Drosophila melanogaster: one gene and its partners. Changing the gene in region 1 together with any one later gene gives a genetic interaction. Each region holds a gene or a part of one and is shown in the gene's direction. Other genes may lie near its edges.

Evidence for each region. Genes that interact genetically often act in the same process or in processes that back each other up.
Region 2: of aPKC (region 1) and crb, changing one suppresses a phenotype caused by changing the other (phenotypic suppression), as found in Drosophila melanogaster (one study listed by BioGRID).
Region 3: of aPKC (region 1) and zip, changing one enhances a phenotype caused by changing the other (phenotypic enhancement), as found in Drosophila melanogaster (one study listed by BioGRID).

Annotation. Positions count from the first base shown.
Region 1 is NT_033778.4:14,953,896-14,962,268, reverse strand, and holds the start of aPKC (atypical protein kinase C), read left to right. Parts: upstream 1-3,812; 5' UTR 3,813-4,025; intron 4,026-8,373. UniProt on the Drosophila melanogaster protein: Serine/threonine protein kinase which is required for apico-basal cell polarity in the germ line as well as in epithelial and neural precursor cells, for epithelial planar cell polarity and for cell proliferation.
Region 2 is NT_033777.3:24,293,470-24,300,001, forward strand, and holds the start of crb (crumbs), read left to right. Parts: upstream 1-1,608; 5' UTR 1,609-2,157; coding exon 2,158-2,395; intron 2,396-6,532. Other genes in the region: CG5715 (uncharacterized protein), read right to left, coding at 1-452, 509-901.
Region 3 is NT_033778.4:25,006,540-25,013,174, reverse strand, and holds the start of zip (zipper), read left to right. Parts: upstream 1-1,711; 5' UTR 1,712-1,833; coding exon 1,834-1,863; intron 1,864-1,966; exon of another isoform or gene 1,967-2,075; intron 2,076-2,558; coding exon 2,559-2,795; intron 2,796-6,635. UniProt on the Drosophila melanogaster protein: Nonmuscle myosin appears to be responsible for cellularization. Required for morphogenesis and cytokinesis. Necessary for auditory transduction: plays a role in Johnston's organ organization by acting in scolopidial apical attachment.

The DNA of each region.
Region 1 (8,373 bases):
GCGCAAGCAACAACAACTACCTGTGGCATGCAGTTCGTTTGGCGTCTGCGTATGTGTGTGTGTGCCTCAAATGTCAAAGTTGACATTTGGTTTTGGGCGGGATTTCAAATTCGTGGGCAAAGAGAAAACGATAACAGAGAGAGCAATAGAAATTCATAAGTTCGTTTATCTATCAGATTCTGAAGATAATGCTACGACACTTTACAGTTAAGCTTCTACAAAATAACAAATCCTTAAAAAAGTTCAGTCAATGTATAAATATAAATATATTTCGCCACTAATAGTTTATTAAAATATATTTTTTTATTTAAACTAGAAAATAAAACTTACTTTTAGCTTAATTTGTAATTGTAAAATGTCTTTTTAATTTATTTTACTGTAAACCGCTTCGTTTTTAACTCGTATCTATTTACTCTTATTTTTGCAGTTTTCTGTTATCAATCTGTTTGTCTCTGTGTGTTACGTGATATCAAAATATTTTACCCAGCTAGCAAATGCAGAAAATGCCCTCGCAAATTCTGAACGACGGCAGCAGCGTCAGCTTGAATAGCGCCAGTATGAACATGGCCAATACGCCCAATAGTATAACGGTAAAGACCGCCTACAATGGCCAGATTATCATTACCACCATCAACAAGAATATCTCATACGAGGAGCTGTGCTACGAGATTCGCAACATTTGTCGATTTCCTCTGGATCAGGTAAAATATATATAAAGTACTGCACGTTACAGAAGTGTAATTCATTGAGCGTTTTGTTTAGCCATTTACCATCAAATGGGTAGATGAGGAAAACGATCCCTGCACCATATCAACGAAAATGGAATTGGACGAGGCCATACGACTTTACGAAATGAACTTCGATTCCCAGTTAGTCATTCATGGTAAGTCTGCTCAAAATTTAAAATTGCAAAGATACGTTAGAGTAATAAATAAAAGAAAGTCGAGTTATTGGTTATTATTGGTTAAGGAATTTCGATTGTAATTTAAGTTCGCTTCTAAAACTGAAAACGATAAACTTATCTAATAAGGTCAGTAAACTAATGTGAGCGGAAAGCACTATTAAACCAAAGTAAGCCTACTGGTTATCTAGCAAAAGATACAGTATCTGCATTCACAGAATTACTCTTCTTTTTATTTTCAATTCTCCAAGTTTTTAAATGATTTACTGCTGCCGCCGCAAGGTAGGCAGCAAGTAATTAATTAACCAATCGGCCACACATTTCGTCTTCGCTTCCATAACTTAAGCAGGCACATTTAAGCCTGATTAAACAATGTGAGCTCGTCTTGTTGGCTCAATAAACTTGAGTTTTCCCCGCGAGTTTTCCGGTTGCCTTTCTGCCTTCGCAGGCTGCCAAAAGGCAGCGTCATCCACTCGAGTTAATAACATAAAATATTAATTAACCCGTACGAACACTCGCATGCTCGAAAAGCTTGAGTCTTGTGGCAATTGCCTTAGGCAGTCAGCGTTCTTCTACGTTTGTTCACTCTTGCCTACCTCCGACTTATTTGCATATAAATTCTGCTTGGATCTTGGCTCGACGGCATCATTTATAATTCATTATAATTAAATTGTTTGCTTCGTGTGGGTTTAAGTTTTCGCCAGCTTTTTTTGGAATTTTAATTTTCCTGTTGTGCGGTTTTCGGCGATCTCACTCATGCACACTCTGATGCGAGTTTTGTGCTTAATTATGCCTGCCGCAACAACAAAAAGGTTTCACTTACCACACTCGTTTGGCGAATGACAAACACAAAACCCTTTTATACAGTAAATTACTAAAAAAACGAGGGCCTGAGGTTAAAGCATAATAAACAAGGAATACACTCTTCTTGGCTACGAATGTAGGACATTTTAGTTTTATTGGGTAAGATACTTAAACTGATACTTAGTACCCAAAATTGTTTTTACCATTTAATTTTATTGAGTATTAATATCCCTTGCAAAGTGTAGTTCTTATTCAAATTTTTCCGAGTTATCCATATATCCTTAACCATTTCATACCTGTGGTCATTCTGTTTTTCCGAACACCGATATGTAAAACAAGAAAAAAGCCAACTAACGGCCCAGCAGATATGATAACTGCCAGTCGCACTAAACAAAGTTCGTGGCTGGTGTGGGGTTTTGATGGAGAGGGTGTTACAGTTTCCGCTACCCTTTTTATGCGGCTTTGTTTTTGTTCTGGGGAGCAGGCTTCCTGATATTTTGTGGCCAGTCCACATCTTCACATATGTACATACATATCTCCGAATGACAAAAAAGAACAGTGTGTAAGGACAACATGTTGGTTGTTGTTGTTGCATACCCGGTACTTTTCAAGGGGTATGCTGTATTCGTTAAAAACAAGCGTACTCCAAGTTCTTTATTCATCTATTTTTCAGGACATATCCCAAAAATTATGCTACTTAAATATTCAATTGCCTGGTAGTGGGTAGCTTTTCTGTCGCAACACTTGACAGTCTCATTCTTTCTTGTTTTTATTCTTGTGTTATGTGGCCACGTGTGAAAAAATGCGGCTTAAAATGTATTAAAAGTATTCTGTGTGCGTCTGTTTTCCTGCGACTGTGTGTGTGTGCGTACGGGAGAGGGACATTGTCAAGGTATTACGTTACCGTTACACGCACTCCTGCATATGTTAGGATGTCCTGTCTGTGTGTTTGTATGCCGCACATGTTTTCTGTTTGTGTGCTTATTGTTGTTGTGTTGATTAGTAAATGGCTGTTGGTGAGTGTGTTTTGCATTTATACAAGCCCGTGTTTTGACTTCTCTGTTGTTGCTTCTCTTGTTTTTTGGTTTCGTTTTTTTTTTTTAATTTTTTCTTATGTTGGAAAGTGTGTTTCCGTAGAACTTCGCTTCACCTTCCGGCTTCATCTCCGCCCAGCAAAAACCTCTGCAGCTCTCCCAAAAACAAAGCAATACAAAAAGTTAGAATCTGTAAGCTAACGGTATAATTTATGCGCCTGCAATATGGCAACGCTGTCCGGCACACACTCACACACATACGCATATGTACATGAAAAACTTTTGTCCAGGTCCGAAGAACTTTTTTTGCAGCTCATAAGGTCGATACACAAGATGCCATTACCCAAGAGCGAGACAGCGATGGCCAACAGAGAATAGATGGAAGGACAGAGAGAGAGAGAGAGCGAGAGAGCATTTCCCCAGATGCCACAAAAAACAGCTGAGCCAAAGAGAAAGGTATTGCCATCCATTGAATCTAAGATGGCAATGCTAAAGCGCCGGTCTGCGGCTTTTATTTTCGCTCTCTCTCCAAAAGTGAAGTATATTCACAAGGCCACGACAGGCTGTTTGGAGCTAGAAAGAGCGGGGAAGGGAAATTTTCTTTTTCCAATCCTTGGACGAGGACTGAATTTTAGTAACATCTGCCCCACTCAGTTCCGGATCATTTGGATCACCTTCATCCATCGAAACGGATCCGGAATTGTAATTTCAGATTATAGAATTCTTACTTTACTCTTACTCTGTTTACGTGTTGGAATAAAAAATGTTTTTAAAAATTATATTTTTCATTTCTTCATTTTCGAGACAGTCATAGCAAAATAGCTTACCTAAAATGAATTGTTATAAAATATTTTTTTTAATAATAATTTTTTTATAGTCATTCATTAAAAACGTCTACTAAGAAACTACTAAAAGAACAAAACATTTTTTCTCAAATTATCTAGTTTCTTTTTTCGCTCTTGCTCTTTACTTTTTCCATTCGCCGAGACTCGCTCTCAATAGCTTTCTCCATGGCTTTCCGCTACATTCTCCCCGAAAAATTTCCCTAGCATACTTCTCTGCATCGGCATTTCACTCGCGCGTTGGCCGCTCGCCTGTGTGGAAGTGCCGTGCGGATTTCGATTCGAAGATATAACTCCCCGGGCCTTACAAACAAATACATAATTATAGATATATATATACATATACATATATATGTATACAAATATACAAGATTTTGCACAGCTAAACGGCAAATCGAGTTTCTGCGCTGTGAATTAACAAAAGAAAGCGGAAAAATCGAAGTTGTATGTCGGAAAAGGAGTACAAATCAGTGAATAACATAATTCCATATAATTATTTTCTTAAACATTTCCACTCGCTCTTCGGCAAGTCACGAAAATCTTGCGGAAAAAATCAATTGGCCCTGTGCAATATTTTTTGACTGTTCTGCCGAAGTTGTCGTACATTTCTGATTAGTTGCCATACAATTTTCCGCTGAGAGAAGGGGTCGGAAAATGGGGAGGTGGAAAGGCAATGGACGTGGAATGATTAACATAATTTTGTGAATGTTTCTTTAATGAACGTTTTTTAGTGCTGCTAATGAAGTAAAAACTTTATGAAAGAGTTACCCCAGAGATGTGATGGAATTTATGACCGTATCTCGCAAAATCAATATATTTTGAAAGATTATAATTTACCCCTTTATAAAGTATTAATAATAATAATTCATTCTTGTTAAAAAAAAAATTGAATATAAATATGGTTTTTTAGTTTCTATTAATAAAATCCTTGCTTTTATTCACTTTCTTAAAGTATAAAAACGTAAAAAACAAAACGCAGACAAAAACGCAGGTGAAATCCCACACACTAAGCATTTTTCTTTTATATTTTAAATACCTCAGTGCAATACAATTAAAGTTCTAGAACGCTTTAAAAACATACCATTTCCTATGCCTCTATCATTTTGCACTTAGACAAAGGGGAGCAACCACGATAAAAAAATCAAAGAATTGATTTCCATTTTTGTGGGTTCCCTTACACTTTTTCTGCATCACGCTGTTCACTTTTTTCCCAAATTTTTTGGCTGCTGTGCGCCAGACACTGGCAAACAAAACCACACACACTCGCACACTCACACACACTTGCAAACACATATGACGCAAAATGAGGCAGTGTGTGTGTGTGTGTGCGAGTGTGTGATGGTGTGCGAGAATCCCCACCCTAAACTTGACCTCAGGCATTTGCACTTCATCAAGCGCTTCTTGCACCTCGGCGACCGTCTGGTTGCCCAAACTTGGCCCAAACCGACTATACTATATAGACGAGATGGATCCATTTCGTATGCATACATACATATATGTAAGGCATATATGCACATATACTATATATATTTATGTACATATACATATGTATATAATATGAGTCAGTGGGCTAGTAAGAAGCTGCAGGGCGAAACAATTTCTTTTTATTCATTCTTTGCGGAAAGCGTTTTGCTGGCCAAGCTGTCGCCCTGCCATTTAAACTTGTTCGTTTCTTTTTGGCCCGAAGGCTTTCACTCGAACCAGGTGTGTGTGCGTCTCCTTTTGCCAAAGTTAAATCAGCAAATTTCCACTGCTTTTTTGGGTACCCTGGGGTTCTGTTTTTGGTCTGTGTTCCTTTTCTTTTATTTTAGGTTTGCCTATGCAGCCTCTGGCAGATTCGGTACCCAGTTCGCTTGCTAGCTGGCCCCATTATGATTGTTGGGCAAATTTTAATGATGCCATTGGGCTTAATGAAATTATTGTTAGTTCAGCAAACAAGAAAGCCCATTTCGGTATTGTTAGGGGATCAGTGCAAATGTACGGATGTGGGCGGAATTGGTTGCTGGTCATATGTATATGCCTCATTACGGATGCCTATATCATATCGTTGATGCAGAGAGAAAAAGCTATAATTATATTATATTATTAATCATACAGTAAAATGTACAACTTTGAGGACCTTATGCTTAAACTTTAAGCTTTACGAGTCTCAATACTTACATTTTATTTAAATTTGTTTAAGTTGCACATACACAACAGTGTCAAATTTTTCTAGATCCCTGAAGCTCGATTACTATCTGTTTAGCTCTGTTTTAATATAATTTGTATCCATCCATGAAGTTGTTAATATTTATAGAATAAACTAGCGTCTTTATTCACGTTTTAAGGTACATTTCGCAGATGGGCATTCTTTCTGTAAGTGGGAACTTTATGGCATTTCCATTTTGCCGCTTTTCTCTTTTTTAAGCTGTGTGAAATTTTATATCCACTGGAGGTCGAGGTGGGCGGCAGGTGGCAACTCGCCCCGCTTGACGTCACTCGGAAAAGCCAAATTGATGTTTAACTATTGATGCCTCTGGTCCGGAGTATCTGGTATCTGTTGGCCCAAAGATGGTGCCGCAGTCCTTTTGGCGAACATCGCCTGCTCAGGTTTATCGTTATGGTTTCACAGGAAACCCATCTCCCCAAACGCTTCTTTGCCAAAGTTCAAGAGTGGGCGGATGATTGAGGCGCTGGAATGGTCAATAATTCGTGGGCGTGGCGGGCTAAATATCCAAATTTGATGGGTTTCTGATGTAAGCAGTCGTGTGCTTATTTAGGCCATTGAAATTCTTGAATGAGGCCGTAAATAATAAACAATAGCTATTGGGAATATCTAATCAATAGCTTTTTGCTTTAAAAACGCAGCTTTATTGATATTAAACATTTATGGCAGCATTTTTATTAGGCCATGCAATGCAGTGAAAATATATTAAATTACCGAAAACAAAAAACAGAAAACTTAACTTAATCATGTAACAAATTGAAATCAAGAAGTATAAATAGAATAGGATTTAAAGACATCTATTGTGGGCACTTTCCCTATGCAGTAATTAACTAATCGGCTTAAAAACTTTAAAACAAAGCGTGTACTTTAAGCTTGTTAAATAATTTTCTTGTTTGTAAATCAGCTTTAATCTAGCTTAGAGCTGTGGGATTTTAGGACTTTGGTTAGTCCAACAAAAGAGGTTTCTATGGATGGAGCCAGGAAGGCTTTAGTGTAGGTGGCTGGACTGTTGGGTTGTTTGGGATGCTCTGTTCCCATCCTGGACAAACAAGCAGGCAACCAATATTCATGCTCCAATTGCAGAGAAAACAATGCCGGCGGAGTGTTTATATTTAGCAAACGCTGAAGCATAGTGCCAGTGCAAAAGAGGGGAATGGGGCTAGGGAAAACGGGATGAGTTGAAGGGGACTGGCTAAATTTAATTCGAAAATGCATCAGATCCTCTTTTTGTGCACACCATTCAGTCACCAGAGACTGCATCATCAGCAGATAGCGTGGAAAACAAAGAAAATGCCGAGAAAATGAGTGCCAAACAAAGGGATCTGCTTGCCTTGTCACGACAAGGCTCTTGTGTCAAGTGGATGCTGTCCACCTAAGGACCTCGCCACCCCCTTTTTCGACCCACTTCGACCCTCGTTAATCATGCGAATTATGCATGAAAGTGGAGTGCTTAATTTCAATTGTCTAAACAACAAGCGATTGCGATGTGACCTACCAATACACTTGAAGAAAATTTTCTGTTTACACTTGACTGCATCGATGGGTGGGCTTTTGCCCTGGGTTCGCCTTTCACTGGAATACAGTGTACGCTCAAGAGAAAGAAAGTGTTTAATCACATTATAATAGTTTGGGATACTAACTTCTATTAGCATTACTTTTCATAACATAAAATATATATTTTTATGTTTCTATAATTACCCATCTCATCTTTTGAATAAAAACCTTCGAGTTTACTGCACAGAGTCTTCACTGTACATGGCTGAAATGTAGGAATGGCAACAGAAGATTGCATACTTAAAAGGGCGATTGCGAGCAAATTTCCCTGCGCGCGTCGACCGATTTTCTCTCTCTCTCTGGATTTTCCTTACCTTCTCTGGCGCTTTCTCTCCCACCTTCTCAATAATTTTCGCTCGCTCTTGGCTGCCTTTCACGCCTTTGTCAATTTGCAGCAACTTGTGCGCTCGTTTGACTTGGGTTAAATTGTTTGTGATTGTCGCAGCCGTGTGTCTCTGTGTGTGTTACCAATTTCTCCAAGCAACTGTTTCTTGTGTGTGTCTGTGTGTGTGTGTGGGTGTCCTGACAGAGTTGTCAGCTGTTCGGCCTGCATTTCTCTCGGTTTCCCCGCTCGTTTCTCTCTTGTCTTTCCCATTATTACACAATTTATATATTTTTTTTAGGTGTGGTTTCTGCGGCGTCTGCAACCGGCCACGCCCATAGCCAAACGCCCACCTTCCCTATCCCCATAACCCCTCTTCCATCGCCCAACGCCCTTCTCACGGCCATATCCTTGTGTGTGTCTGAGTTTTTCTTTTAATCAATCATTACGAACTGCGAGATCAGCAAAGTGGGCGGAGTGGGGGATACGCCGCCTGTCGTTTGGCTTTGAAACTTTGCATTGCATAGTTTGGTGCGCCATGTAACTGTAATTGCAACTGGGACCTTGTTCCGCTTTCCTTCGCGATTTACTTTCTCCGACCACCCGCTCTCCCCGCGACTCAGTCCCCACTGAATCCAATTTTATATACGCTCCACTTAAGAGGGGGGTTTATGCTAAGTAGAAATATTGGTGGCACTTAGTCAAGCAAC
Region 2 (6,532 bases), on another chromosome or scaffold:
CCGGCTGAGAAGCCCTTGCGTTGACCCATCTGGCTGGCATCGGATGTGGCACGCAGTGCCTTCAACGTGGGCTGGCCATTCCGAGTGAAACTGGTGGGGGAGTAGTGCATCACACTGCCATAGTCGTATTCCACGCCGAAGCCGTACTGTGTCCTGGAACTGGACTTCTCGAAGTTGACCATCATCTCGGGCTTGATGTTGTCCTTCATCACGCGCACATAGGAGTCACGTTCGTGACGATTCTGCTCATGGAAGAAGCCCAGGGCGTGCATCAGCTCGTGAATGGGAGTGCCGTATGTACGCAAGCAGTTGGGCGACTGCAGATTCACTTCCTGGCGACCACCTAAGCGCCCAATGCTACTCCAGCAGCCAGACTTTCCGCTACCAATGGAGATGTAATCCTTTTCGGTGGTCCTGGGCTTGAAGCGCACGCATGTTTTGGTGTGGTATTCCTAAGATACAAAATCTTATTTGTAAATTGTAATAGGGACTATTACTGAAACCTCACCTTAAAAGCGTGGTTAATATTCCCCAATTCCTGGCTGGTAAAAGGACCTTTGATCTCGTAGGGCACAACGCCGCCCGGCCAGCGGGAACTCAGCGCCAAAATGCCATTACGAGTGCCATTGAATCGGGCGTCCCTGTAGCTCAGTGGAATCAGGATGTCACCTTCGTGGTAGGTTCCCAGCTCCTCGGGATTCAGCGGGGATTCCACACCGAGTGCCTCAACCAAAGCTCCAGTCGTCTCCACGTCCGGATTACCGAACAGAGTATCTCCAAGATCTGTCAAGTCAATCATTTCCTGGGAGTCCATATCCTCCAGGGGCATGGAATCTCCCAGAGAAATGCCCAGTATAATCAGTAGCAAAAGCGAACCAGTATTATTTTGCGATTTGCCCATTTTGCTAATTCCCCAACTGCTGTGATTTCTAACCAGGCTTACCCACATTATATAGTCCCACCTAGACCTCCAAAAATTGACGACATGTTGTCGGTGCTGCCTGTTTATGCTGAGTTCTCTTTGAAACGATAAGTCGGCGCTTTGTGGCCGTTTACATTTACATTAAGTACGTAGTTGCTATCCGCCGGCTTCTTGATTTATGGGGAATTTACTTTTATGCATTCCGACTTGAAAATATGTGCAGTGCGGAATTTTCGCAAGTTAAGATTTGCGGTATTATAAAAGGTTTATTCTATTTGGATTATGATGATGTAGGTCACAACTTACAAAACCCATAACTGCCGTTGGTAATTTAAGTGAAGTTTACGTTTTCATGTTCCCGCCATAAATTAAACTTTACTATGCTCGTGTATTTTGGAATGTCACCTAGACATACACACGATATTAATTGATATATTGAATAGTTATATCAGTAAAGTTTTATGAAAATGTAATTAACGGTTTAATTCTTGTGCGAAATCAATTCAAGAACAAAATATTTTTTTTGTACATATTGTACCACTGTGCAACTTGAATATCAGTGTGGCCATGCATGTTGACTCTATATCAAAATCCAGCCAAACCTAGCCAAGCGGACTGGTCACACTGCACCATATATAAGCCCACGAAACGGATATCGCCGATTCAAACGGTCGAACATTTTTCTTGCTGCTCGTACGTACGTTTTATTGGTTGCTCGCGCTCGTAACGTTTTTTTCGCCCCGTTTTGGCCAATGTGTGTGCGCGCGCGTGTGTGTGTGCTGCTTGCAGTTCAAAAGGGCAGCGACAACAACAAGAACAGCGCACCTCTCTTTTAAGCCAAGTCTTCGGCGCTCGTATGTGTGTGTGTGTGTTGGTGTGATTCAGAATCGTGGCCTGGGAAGAAATGGCAAATTAGTTGGCTCAAAGTGGAATCTCTGTGCTCAATATTCAAATTCAGGCTAGAAAGTGTCGCGTGCGAAAGTTTGCAAATAATACAACTAGCAGAAAAAGAGGAATATAACTTAAAAAAAATAAAAATAACCTGTTCTAAGCCAAGTGCCGATTGCGCGCGTGTGTGTGTGTGCGTATGAGTGTTTGCGTGGAGCAGAGAGAAGGGAGAATGCAATTACCAACAACAACAAGCTCAATGAGTATCGTTTGAATAGCAATAATATCTAGCCAAAAGCAACCCTTTCCAATACGAAAACTCGACTTGAGCCAACAAATCAGCGATCATGGCTAAAATCGCCAATGCGTCACTGTCGCAACAACAAAAACAGCGGCAAGCAGAAACAGCAACGACCACAACAACAACAGTGGCGGCATCAGTAGAAACAGCAACAACAACAGCAAGAAGTCGAGACCGCACGAAAAGCGCAGCTCAAATTACGTCGCATTTGCTCAAGCGCGCCATTTCAGTTTATTCGTCGCCTCAATGGATACCGCTCTTCATACTTATTTACTTAGCAACAGGTGAGAGAGAACCCTGAGAGGGAGCTAGCGAGTGAGTGAGAGGGAGGGCGATAGGCAGTCGAGGACATTCAGGAGGAGAGAGCGAAGATGGGGACATGAGAGAGCAACACGGTGTTTACGCGGTTCTTAAGCTACAGTGATCACTCCACAGCACTGAACTTGCCCGTTATAAATTATTAAAATGTATATTAGATGCCCATTTTAAATGGAATTTGTAATGTTGTTATTGTGTTTAAGCCTTTGGCTGCTCATATGATTAATGAGTTAATGAGATTGAGTTACGGAAGTCACACTGTAAATAATTTATATGATGAGCCACATGCATTCTTTAGCTTAAACATTTGCTGATGTTTCAAAAGCTCGTAATCGAAAAAAAAGAGCAACAGGTCATGTGTGTGTGTGGTGGGGCATTCGTGTGTTTTGGGGATGTTGACCAAGTCATGTTGGGTAAAAGGAATTTGGATTTTCAATGATTTCGGGCCTACGAAAAACTCGTTCAACGGGTTTTCCTTCAAGAAGTGACTCATGGAGCTGGCTTACCTGAAGTTTGATTGTGTTAATTATACACTCATTTCTAATTTTTGATGATTGTGTGCTCGGTCTTATCTTGCAAACAAAAGGAATGCTTAGAAATGTATTAGCTTCGATTGCGTATAAATTTATATTTAGTAGAGTACAACTTTAGTCGCTGAGAGAGATAATTAATCAAATTATAGCTTCAAAGGCGGTTAATGTTAGCAATCTTGGCCAAGAAGAATTAATTACTGAAACCAGAAGAGATATTTTAACGTGACCCGCATTTTTTACACACTGTAGCTTACAAATGGATATCATATTTTTAGGTAAATAACAGGGAATCGTAACAAATTATTGTTTCTGCATTTGTTGATACTGGTGCGATTTTTTGGTAATAAAACCTCATTTGTCTGCATTTTCAAAGCGCTTTTAGCGATATCACAACAGTGAAATCTGTGAAACTTATCGCATAACGATCATAATAATTGATTCACAACTCTTGCTGACTCATTATGTGTAATTTTCTGTTACATGTTGTCCGCGGCTCAATTGTTTGGCTGGCTTAGCATTGTCTGCCCCCTTTTTCCAACGGATTGTGCAAAAACGACCTCAAAAATTGGGTCTATTTATTTACAATTCGAGTACCAACCCTCCAAACGGCCAGCCATCCGGCTGTTGTTACGCGCAATCTTATCTTTTGGCCGGAAAGTGAAGTACAACAGTTGCAAAAGCGCGGCCAACTCAACGTCAGCAATACCGCAATTCCGTTGATAGGTTGATAAGAAGAACACTCAGGAGAAGGGAGCACAGATAGAGAAAGAGTTTTCCAACTCGAAGTAGGGAAAGCCCTGGAGTGCAGCGAAAACATAGTAAACCAGTTTATCAGCTCTTGAAGCTAATAGTAAACAAATTTTCAGCTTAATAATTAAAAAAAATCCAAACGAGTGAAAAGCCCTAATAAAGAGCTATAATTCATTCATTTCCATGAACACATTTTCTTTTAATTGTAAAGAACCAACCTCTCTATAGGCCCTGTATTTTCGTATACCTTTTATCGTAGAATTTATCAAATGACTTTGGTTTATGATTGACAAGGAAAACCGACGAATAAAAAGAAGAGAAAATGAATGTCTGGGCTGGGAAATCCCTGAAAGGCATCACAGCAACTGGTTTATGGCAGCTTCCATCGTAAAATCCAGACACCGACAGCGAAGATCATCAGCGTCATCTTCACTTCGAGAGTGGTTTCTGTACGGCTTTCGTTTGAATTTCCGCCCTAAACAGATATAATCCATCATTTTCAGGGGAAAAATCGCGGCACAGGTATACTAGGCACGCTGGAAAAGTGGAGGGAAAACACAAATGAACCGAAACTACCTGCATTGCGTTAACGATAACAACACGTGACCCCGCGAGTTTATGGAAATTCTCTGGCACGTACATAAATGAAAATCGAGAATGGAATGGAAATTGTACGCTGGACACACCCGCGTTCTCCGCTCTCCGGTGTCCGGTGTTTCAACCTGGTCAAGTGTTAAAGTGCAATCGGCCGTGACGCGGGTCGTGGGCCATGTTCCGTGGGCCTACGCAGCCGGCCGCGACCATTGCCTGACGTTGGCCATTAGTGCAAGTCGTTAGCCAGGTCTATAAAAATAGCCAGAGTATAACTGAAAAAGAACTGATTTGCCCCAGTCCTTTAAAGGTTAGGGCGTACTTTACTACCCAGTACTTAGTGGGGAGTGGGGAATTGTGGCGGAAGTGGAATTGAATGCAATACTGAGAATGCAGGGCGCACATTTCAGGACCAATTTTGGTTATAGCCGAAATAATTGGGATGTGGACTCTTGGTATGATTTTGGACTAAGCATAGAAAGTTGTAATTAGGTAACTTTAAGTCGAGACAACTGCTTAGTTCTGTCTAGTTTCTCCTTGCAATGTTCCACGTTTTCTGCGACTGCATCGATTAGCCAGCCACCTTGGGAAATTACCGATGCACAAAAACCACAAATGTGAGAAACAATATGACATAGTGGGGAAAATATTATACTAAACTGAAAAGACAGTGGCAGCTTTCGCTTTTACACGATATTAATTCCAAAAATTTATTCGATGCAAACAAATGTTTAAAAGTTGTGGGCGTTGTTCAATGCTGTCCGTTGGATTGTCTTTATCGCGGTGATCACGTAGTGCCGTTTTATCTGTCGCTATTTGCATACGCAGCGTACTGCCAGCAACAACAAATTCCATTGTTAGCATTGAGTCACACCAACAACGATACCGTGGGCCACAACGCACCAAAATCGAACACAAATTGTTTGGTAATTGAGGTGGGAAATTGGGGAACATACTCTAAGGTTCTGAAGGCAATTAACGGGCTCAGCATGCGTGGTTTTATTATTTATTTCAGACCATATTAATAGCATGTTGTAGTGCTAAACACACAAACTAAAGCTTATATATGAGGTAGCAGCCATTTAATAAATAATAAAATATTTATGGAATTATTACTTCTATAAGTTCATTCTACTCACATCATATGCCCTGTGGAAAGTGTAAAGTCACTTCCTGATATGATTTTGTACATTTTTTCCATAATTACTCACAGCCCTTAATTTATTTTGAAAACCTTACCGCGGTGCAACGCCCACGTACTGCGTTTATACTTCAAAAGTCTGTGTTTGCCCAGGTTGTGGGTTCCGAAGGTTCTAGAGGTTCATTCCGGTGGATCTGGTGGTTCTAGTGATTCTGGTGGATGAAATGGTGTTGCTCTTTGGGGACGCACCGGAAAAGATTCTCAGGTGTGTTTTCGGTTTTGTTTTATTCAACAGTTCATTGCTTTGTGCCAGTTTGTGAACGAGTCTGGCCGCCCCTTTTTCCAGGCCCACAGAATGTACAAGGGCCGCCTTGTTGGCAACACACAGAAAGCGGTCGAGCAACAACACACCACTGGCTGCCACAAAACTGGTTCCCAGGCGCGCCTGCGCAGAGGTGGCTCCAAAACAAAACAAAAAAAAAAGCACACACAAAATTTTGAACGGCGCCAAAAGAGCGGGGGAGAGAAAAAGCGACTCTAATTTCGAGTGTGCCCCATTCTAAGCATTTATTTTCGGGGCTCTTTTCGCTTGAAAGTCATCTTGGTGTTCCCAGAACCAAGATATTAATGAATAAACGATAACTGTTTAAACGTAAAGATTTATTCACACGGTTAAATATAGACAAGTTCAACGAGAAATGGCACAAAAAGAAAAATGAATTAACTAAATTGAAATAAGCTTATTCGTGAACTCATTTCAACTTCAATTGTTACTTTAAACTTTTCACACTTATGCTGGCTAATATGAAAACTTGATATGAGTTGCTTTGATATCATTGCCATTATTTACTACCCTCTATTTTGATTTCGTGCACAATTTCATGAGAGTAACCTGAGCGAATCCACTGGATTGGTGACGCACTCAAACTTTTTAGTGGGTGCGTATTTTTTGGGTTATTCTCCTTATAATCTGCAGCTTTCATGAGAAACGTTCATTTATGAAAACTAATTAGCTTCTGGCCGCTTCAATGTATTGTTACCATATTGTGTGGCCGAAGCGGTTTTATTTAAATATTTAAAAATATTTC
Region 3 (6,635 bases), about 10 Mb from region 1:
TTACTCAACGACGTATGCTTATTAGGTCGAACGTGCCCTGTCACGGGACTCCGGGCCAGGAAAGCCGTCTGCGGCATGGTTTCCGGACGGGCCCCATCCGATTCCAGCCCAGTAATAAAGGCCTTTGATTATGTTGCCCCGGGATCCCTTGGGAACGGGCAAACCTTGTTGTCTACCGCTTGTCTGGTCTTTCATAATTTACAGCCTCCCAAAAAAGCGGAATGGAAGCACCGACGCAGTTCTCTGTCCTTTGAAGATTTTGCAAGTTTAATTTATGTGGGTTTGTTTTTTCTTTTCTACTAGCAGTCTCAGCGCACATTAAAAATTCATTATCAGCATAAAGCTGGAAGGTTTCGGGAAGATGGGGTGGCTCAGCTTACCACGACAATTTTGTGGAAAACCAGGAACTACACGTGCAATTATTATCGCTGTCTGACCCAGTTGCTTCAAGGAGAAACGATGGCTTACCTGAATCGATAATTCCTGGCTGCACGTTAGTTTGTCATCCAATGAATCCTATTCGGAGTCCCTCACTTAGGATTCTGGAAACGAGAAACCATAGACAAAACGTGAGAGTTTTGCGGAACTAGTCGCGACTTCTTCTTATCCTTAACAAAGCACTCGCGACAACAACAATCGATTCTGTTCGTTTGCAGTTATTTCTTCCGCAAATGCAAATTGAATTCGCTATTGCGCTCTAATTTCGGCACATACACACGCATACGCACTCTCGCCACACATACACACGAACACAGAGAAACTGGTCAGCAGGCGAATGACGTCATTGCCAAGGATGCTGCGCGCATCTCAAGAACGCTGCCAGAAGTAGCACTTCATTTAAGGAACTGTGTTCTTGCTCTTAGTTGGAATCACTCAAGTCCGTTTCCCCAGAATTAAAAGTTCGCAAGGAGCCCGCCAGATATTTTATTAAAGTCAATTTAATTGCGACTGGCGCCAAGCACTCACATCTGGCTGTGATACTCGGAACTGGACTTACTGATTCAAGCGCGGACCTTCACCGTTCCTCGAAAAATTCAAAATTAACTGAAAGTATCCGCACATCCGCGCATTAACCCAACGGTTTATTGAAGTTTGGTTTTACCAAGAACTGATTCGAAGAGAGGACAGCACGCGAGACCCCGCAAAACACCAAAAACAAAAAGGCGGTAAGGTATTTTGATGTTGTCGTGCGGTCCAACTAAATGAACTACGTATATGTCAAAAGTAAAATCGACATATACGATACTTAGCTTGCACTAATTTGACCAATATTATAAATTGAAAAGTGAGTTGGAAACATCCTTTGCTACATCTGAATATGCAAGTGAGTGAAATCGGCAAAATAATTTAATCTCATTTCTATTCCGGAAGTATTCGATTCCAATCGACACCGCTTGGCTTGAAGCCGCGAATATTTCGATCTTAAGTGCAGTCATGAACCAGAGGAAGCTGATGCGATACTTTGCTAAAAACTTAGATATTCTGTTATAGAGGAATACAATGGCCGACCTGAAAAAATGTTACAGGTGTGTGCTTTAAACAAAATCTAGATGCGATCCATATGTAGAATTTTAATCAGTGTTGACATATCGATGTATGTGTTTTCAGAAAGCGCTGCCGCGGCCGTCGTGTGAACTACGACATATCGATGCATCGATATGTCCGAATGGAATCGGAAGGCATCGATTACCATCGAACTCGAAAAGTACTCGGTCGGCAAAACGGCAAGCGGCGAAAAACAGTGAAAAAAAAAGGGGGAAAGCGAAAAGACGTGCTCAGGAACTGCGGTCGAAGTCTTTGTGAGTGTGTGTGGGTGCAGCTGTCGCCAAACAAATGAAAAGCGCCTGGCTTGCATTAAAATCGGTAAAAAAAAAATCGGAAATGTGCACAGGCATCCAGCGAATGCAGCGACCTATTCGCCGGCGTCGGGACGCCGCCAGCTGAAACTGCACGGTCGAATTTGGCTGCATTTGCACAAACGCTGTGCTGACGCGGGGAAATGGGAGCATAAAAACCGAAACTTGTGTGCGAAATATGCGAATATGCGAAACCTTGGCTCCCAGTGCGATCTATGTGTGTGTGTGTGTGAGCCGTGCTGTGTGTCGGTGTTGCAGAACGAACCAAGTGGGAAGCAAAGCGAGAGAAGACGAAGAGGAAGAAAAAGAGCCGCTTGTACCTGCTCCGAAAACTGAAACATCCGAAATCGGAGGTGAAAAGGTGCTCTGATAGTGTTTAGCTGCAGTTTTAGGAGATGCAAACTGGTTAATTGCTACGTAACGCTATTTTTCCGCTAAATTACTTCACCACCCCTTCTTCTACGTTCAGCGGTGACTTTGGCTTAAGAAAATGAAAATGTGTGGCCATATTTTTTCCTCTCCGTCTTTCTTTCGCCTTCGCGCTCTCCCTTTTGAAACTCTCGCCGCGCGCTGTTCTCGCCGCCTCCGTTTTGTGCCGCACTTCCGAGATAAAGAACGCAAACGCGAGATAAATGCGAAATATTGTATCTGAGGAGCGAGGCAACATACTCATTGTTCTCATCGATTTGTTTTGTCCGACAGAAAAGTGCATTGCATCCGAAAAGCGAATATCCAGTATCCAATATCCATTATCCGAAAGCAGCTAATTACCGACAGACAAGGAATTATTTAGAGATCGCCGCCAAAATGTCGGAGGAAGTAGATCGCAACGATCCGGAGCTCAAGTACCTCTCGGTGGAGCGCAACCAGTTCAACGATCCGGCCACGCAGGCCGAGTGGACACAGAAGCGTCTGGTGTGGGTGCCACACGAGAACCAGGTGAGTCTACTTAAATGTAATGCCTACCCGTAGAGCATGTTCCTACTCTGGACGCAACCTCTGCTACGGGATTTCTACCCCGGAAGCCACGCCCGTTTCAGTGAACTACCTGAATAGACCCTATAGATAGCCTAAATGCAACAGGAACTGCTACAACTGAGATAAAAATACAGTCGATACATCATAACGCTGTTTATTTCGTGAAGTCGGTAGTCATTAGCCCATTATGGTTTTTTTTTTTTTTTTTGTAAAATTACCAAATGTACTTAATTTTCGTTTAATTTTCATATTCTTTTGCGTAAAAAATTGCTACATGTAACTATCTAATATCTAAGTATTACTTCGCAGTGAATGGTTATTATAGAACATAGTGTGTTCGACACATCGTGATAATATTTTAGCCCTAGCTGTACGTGCTCTAATCAATTTTCACAGTGTTTGTCCCCGGCTTTGCGCTTCTTATCAGCCAACACCTTTTGAGCCATCCGACTCACTCATCGATTGGTCATGAATCACGCTTCACCGATCCGTTTATTTTTAATTTTGAACAGGCCCAACTTCTTTGAATTTTCATTACATTCGCACCGCGGTGATAAACTTGGGTAAACATCCGTTGGCGTCGATGCTGAATCACTCTTTTCTCCTGCGCTGATGCTGAATTAATCTCACCGTAGTAGTGTGACACATTTAACTTCTTACTTGGTCAAATCCGCGACCATTTGGTACCAATTTGCATGCAGACGCTCTTCGACTCAGTGACTCACCTCCGAGGGAGAGTGGAAGCAGGAATGGCCCCAGTTCGCAGTTCCCACTAAGAGCGGGCCAAAACAAGTTTTCAATGTGGCTAGGTATTTGTGGTGTGGACTTGCTTGTGTGGGGCTTTCTGGCCTCAACCACACAGCCAGGCCAGCAAAGAAACGAGCCGAGATTGCGCCAAAGAATCGCTTCCCTCGGAGTTCGGGCGCCCGCTCTTGGCCTATAAATTCAAATTCAAAACTTTGGTCGACTGCTAGCGATCAAGCCTTATGATAACAAGCCGATTGTTTTGCTAATTTCGGTGTGGCTTGTTATTCTCTTCTTCAGTTTAAAGCGATTTCATTCAGGTGTCATTCAACTGCATTCCAACGACTTAATTTCAAGACCATAAAAAACGTAAACAGATAAAATTATCAACCGCTCCTTTCTCCCCTGGCTGCCCGTAATTGCTGTATTTGCCAGAGATAATTCCGTACATAGAATGGTAGCACTTTTGGGTGACTTCGTATAATAAAAGCAACATCGAAAACAAAAGCCAACAACTTCACATTTTTGTGTAATTACGCGATCACTTTAACAGACATTTACTTTACAATGGAATCTCACAAAAAGACAACGGCAGAGATAAAACCCAGAAATAAAACGAAAATAACGAAACGCTCGATTGTCATGAGTGGTCCGTCAGATTGTCTAAAGGCTAAAATTTCTTTGCGACTGACGAACGGCACATGAGACGGGTGGAAATAGTTAAGAAATTTGCATATAGCGCAACTGTTGCTCCGCTGGAATGTCCACAGATACAGCTACGTCTTAACGGGAACGGACCCGTCCAAAAGGGTATTCGCCAATTGTGTCAACACTCGTTTCGTTTCCAGCAACTGTTCCAGCTTTTCGAAATGTAAGCGAATTCGCTGAATAATGGCGGCGTCAGTCCACGTACGTGATATCCAAATTCAGTAATTTACTGGTGGATACACAAGGAGACCTTTTGTTCGTGGCTACATTTCGTTTCATGTTGTTTGCTGAACAGCGATGATTCATCGAATCAATTGCACAGAGAGCAAGTTTATTGGTGGGGATTAGATATATTGTACATTGAAGGTTTCGGGTTATAGGTTAATGTATATTTGCGATCTTGAAACTATTTAAATGCTTTTAATAGTTCATAGCTTACTTTTCCATTGTCCAACGATGAAATTGAAAAGTTAATACTTTGGAATTCGTGAACACGGTGGAAATGTGTTTACACCTCTTTTCTTTTTTCCCTCTTCTTCAGCGCTAATGCTCTTCTTATCCGCTGTCTTTGTTCAGGCATTCCTGAACGCCTCACTCCCGAGACCAATCTGAAAACTTTTTATATTGTTAGCCAAATTGAAGTCGGCTTAACCTTCGTCATGTCCAGAGAATCGATTCGATTGTAACGAACGGCGATCATTAGGGGGTCTCTGCTCACCCACACATGCTGCGTTTCATACTTCCACGCTTGTATGTGTGCTGCTCGTATTTATAACCAAAGAAACCACTTTGGACTTTGTTTGCGACCACTCCCACTCCGCTTCCGCGCCCCCGCCCTTTGGCGTGCCGCGATTGGTTCTGGCGGAGATGCCCGTGCCGCGCGAGTGTGTGTTTTCTTTTCGGTTACGGCAATGACAAACGTAGCCAGCTTTCGACTCTCGTCCGTCCGGTTTACGGTCAACGAACCTGCGCCTCGTATCACGTATGTGTAATATACGCTTCTTACCCTCTCCATCTCCACTTCCATCCTCAACAATGCATATACGTTGATCGATTAAGCGAAGGAATAAAATAAAAGAGTAACAAATTTTAATGGGCCCATCGAACGTTCGCATTTGGATCGTGATGGAAAAAGGGGGACCGGAGACATCTATTCATTATTCTGTTCATATTTACATTTTCGGAATAGTGTAAACAAAAGAAGTTGGCGAAAAACATACGCTCCCAGAGAGTAAATAATGGCCACAGATATATCTCAAAATCACCAATATTCTTATGTGTGCTGTTCGGCCGATACCTTGGCATGTTCAAGGTTGCGGTTGGGCACCCAAAAATAGTCAAACCCAAATCGGGGGCTCCCCTCTGGAATGCACTCCTTCCCAACATTCTTACTTTGATTCCCGCCTGTCTGATCATCACCAACATCTAGGTGTTGTTGATATATTTTCTTTGGTTTCGCTTCACCGATTGCCTGGAATGCCCGAGATGCCGTTGAGCGAGAATCCGAGACTGATGACCTCATATGCCCCAGCCTCTCGCGGCTGCCTCGCTGGGTAACTTCGGACAACTTCCCTGGACCGATAACTCCAATTCCTCTCTTGTGGGGCATTCCAATATCGTGATTCACGCACCAACTGTCGCAGCGGCTATAGCATTTTCCGATTCGGCGAACTTTTAGCTTCTTCTGCCACTGTCGCAAGCCTTGTGTATTTGTTTGTCCAAAGTGTCAAACGTTTTATGCACAAATGTTTTGCAGGCTGACAGCGGCTGCCCACAAAAAAGGCAGACGCCTGGGAAATGAATTTAGATACAGCGAAAGTACTCAAAATTTAGGCCTATATACATGCAGACGACTTTACCTTATGACTAATCTGTAAACTTTTCGCAGCGCGAAAATAATTTGCCGTAGGACCCAGCTGAGTATTCTAAAGAAGTCGTTACATGCTCTAAATGGTTTCATATACGCCATATATGCCCGAGAATAACGACTTTCTTATGGCTGTTTATCAACAGTACCGGAAAAGCGCAAAGATAACACAGGCAAGGCAAGAACCACCACGTCTCTGGTTTTTCCGAAACTGATCGCTGGGGCGTGTGCGTATTTAACTTAATGGACCCGAACCGGGCTGGGATGTATTGCAGATGCTTCTGCCCTGCATCGGCAGGCCGTTGTTGGTCTTAATGCATTTCTGTTTTGCAGCGGCGGCACGCCACTCCACCCTTTAATGACTGAGTTACGGGTTGCCCCTGATTTGATTAATGCCAATGCGTCGCGTGAACATGCTTCCCTTTGTTGTTGTTTCACTTGACTTCTAATTGAGGATGTTATTCTGTTGGTGTTCGATTAAA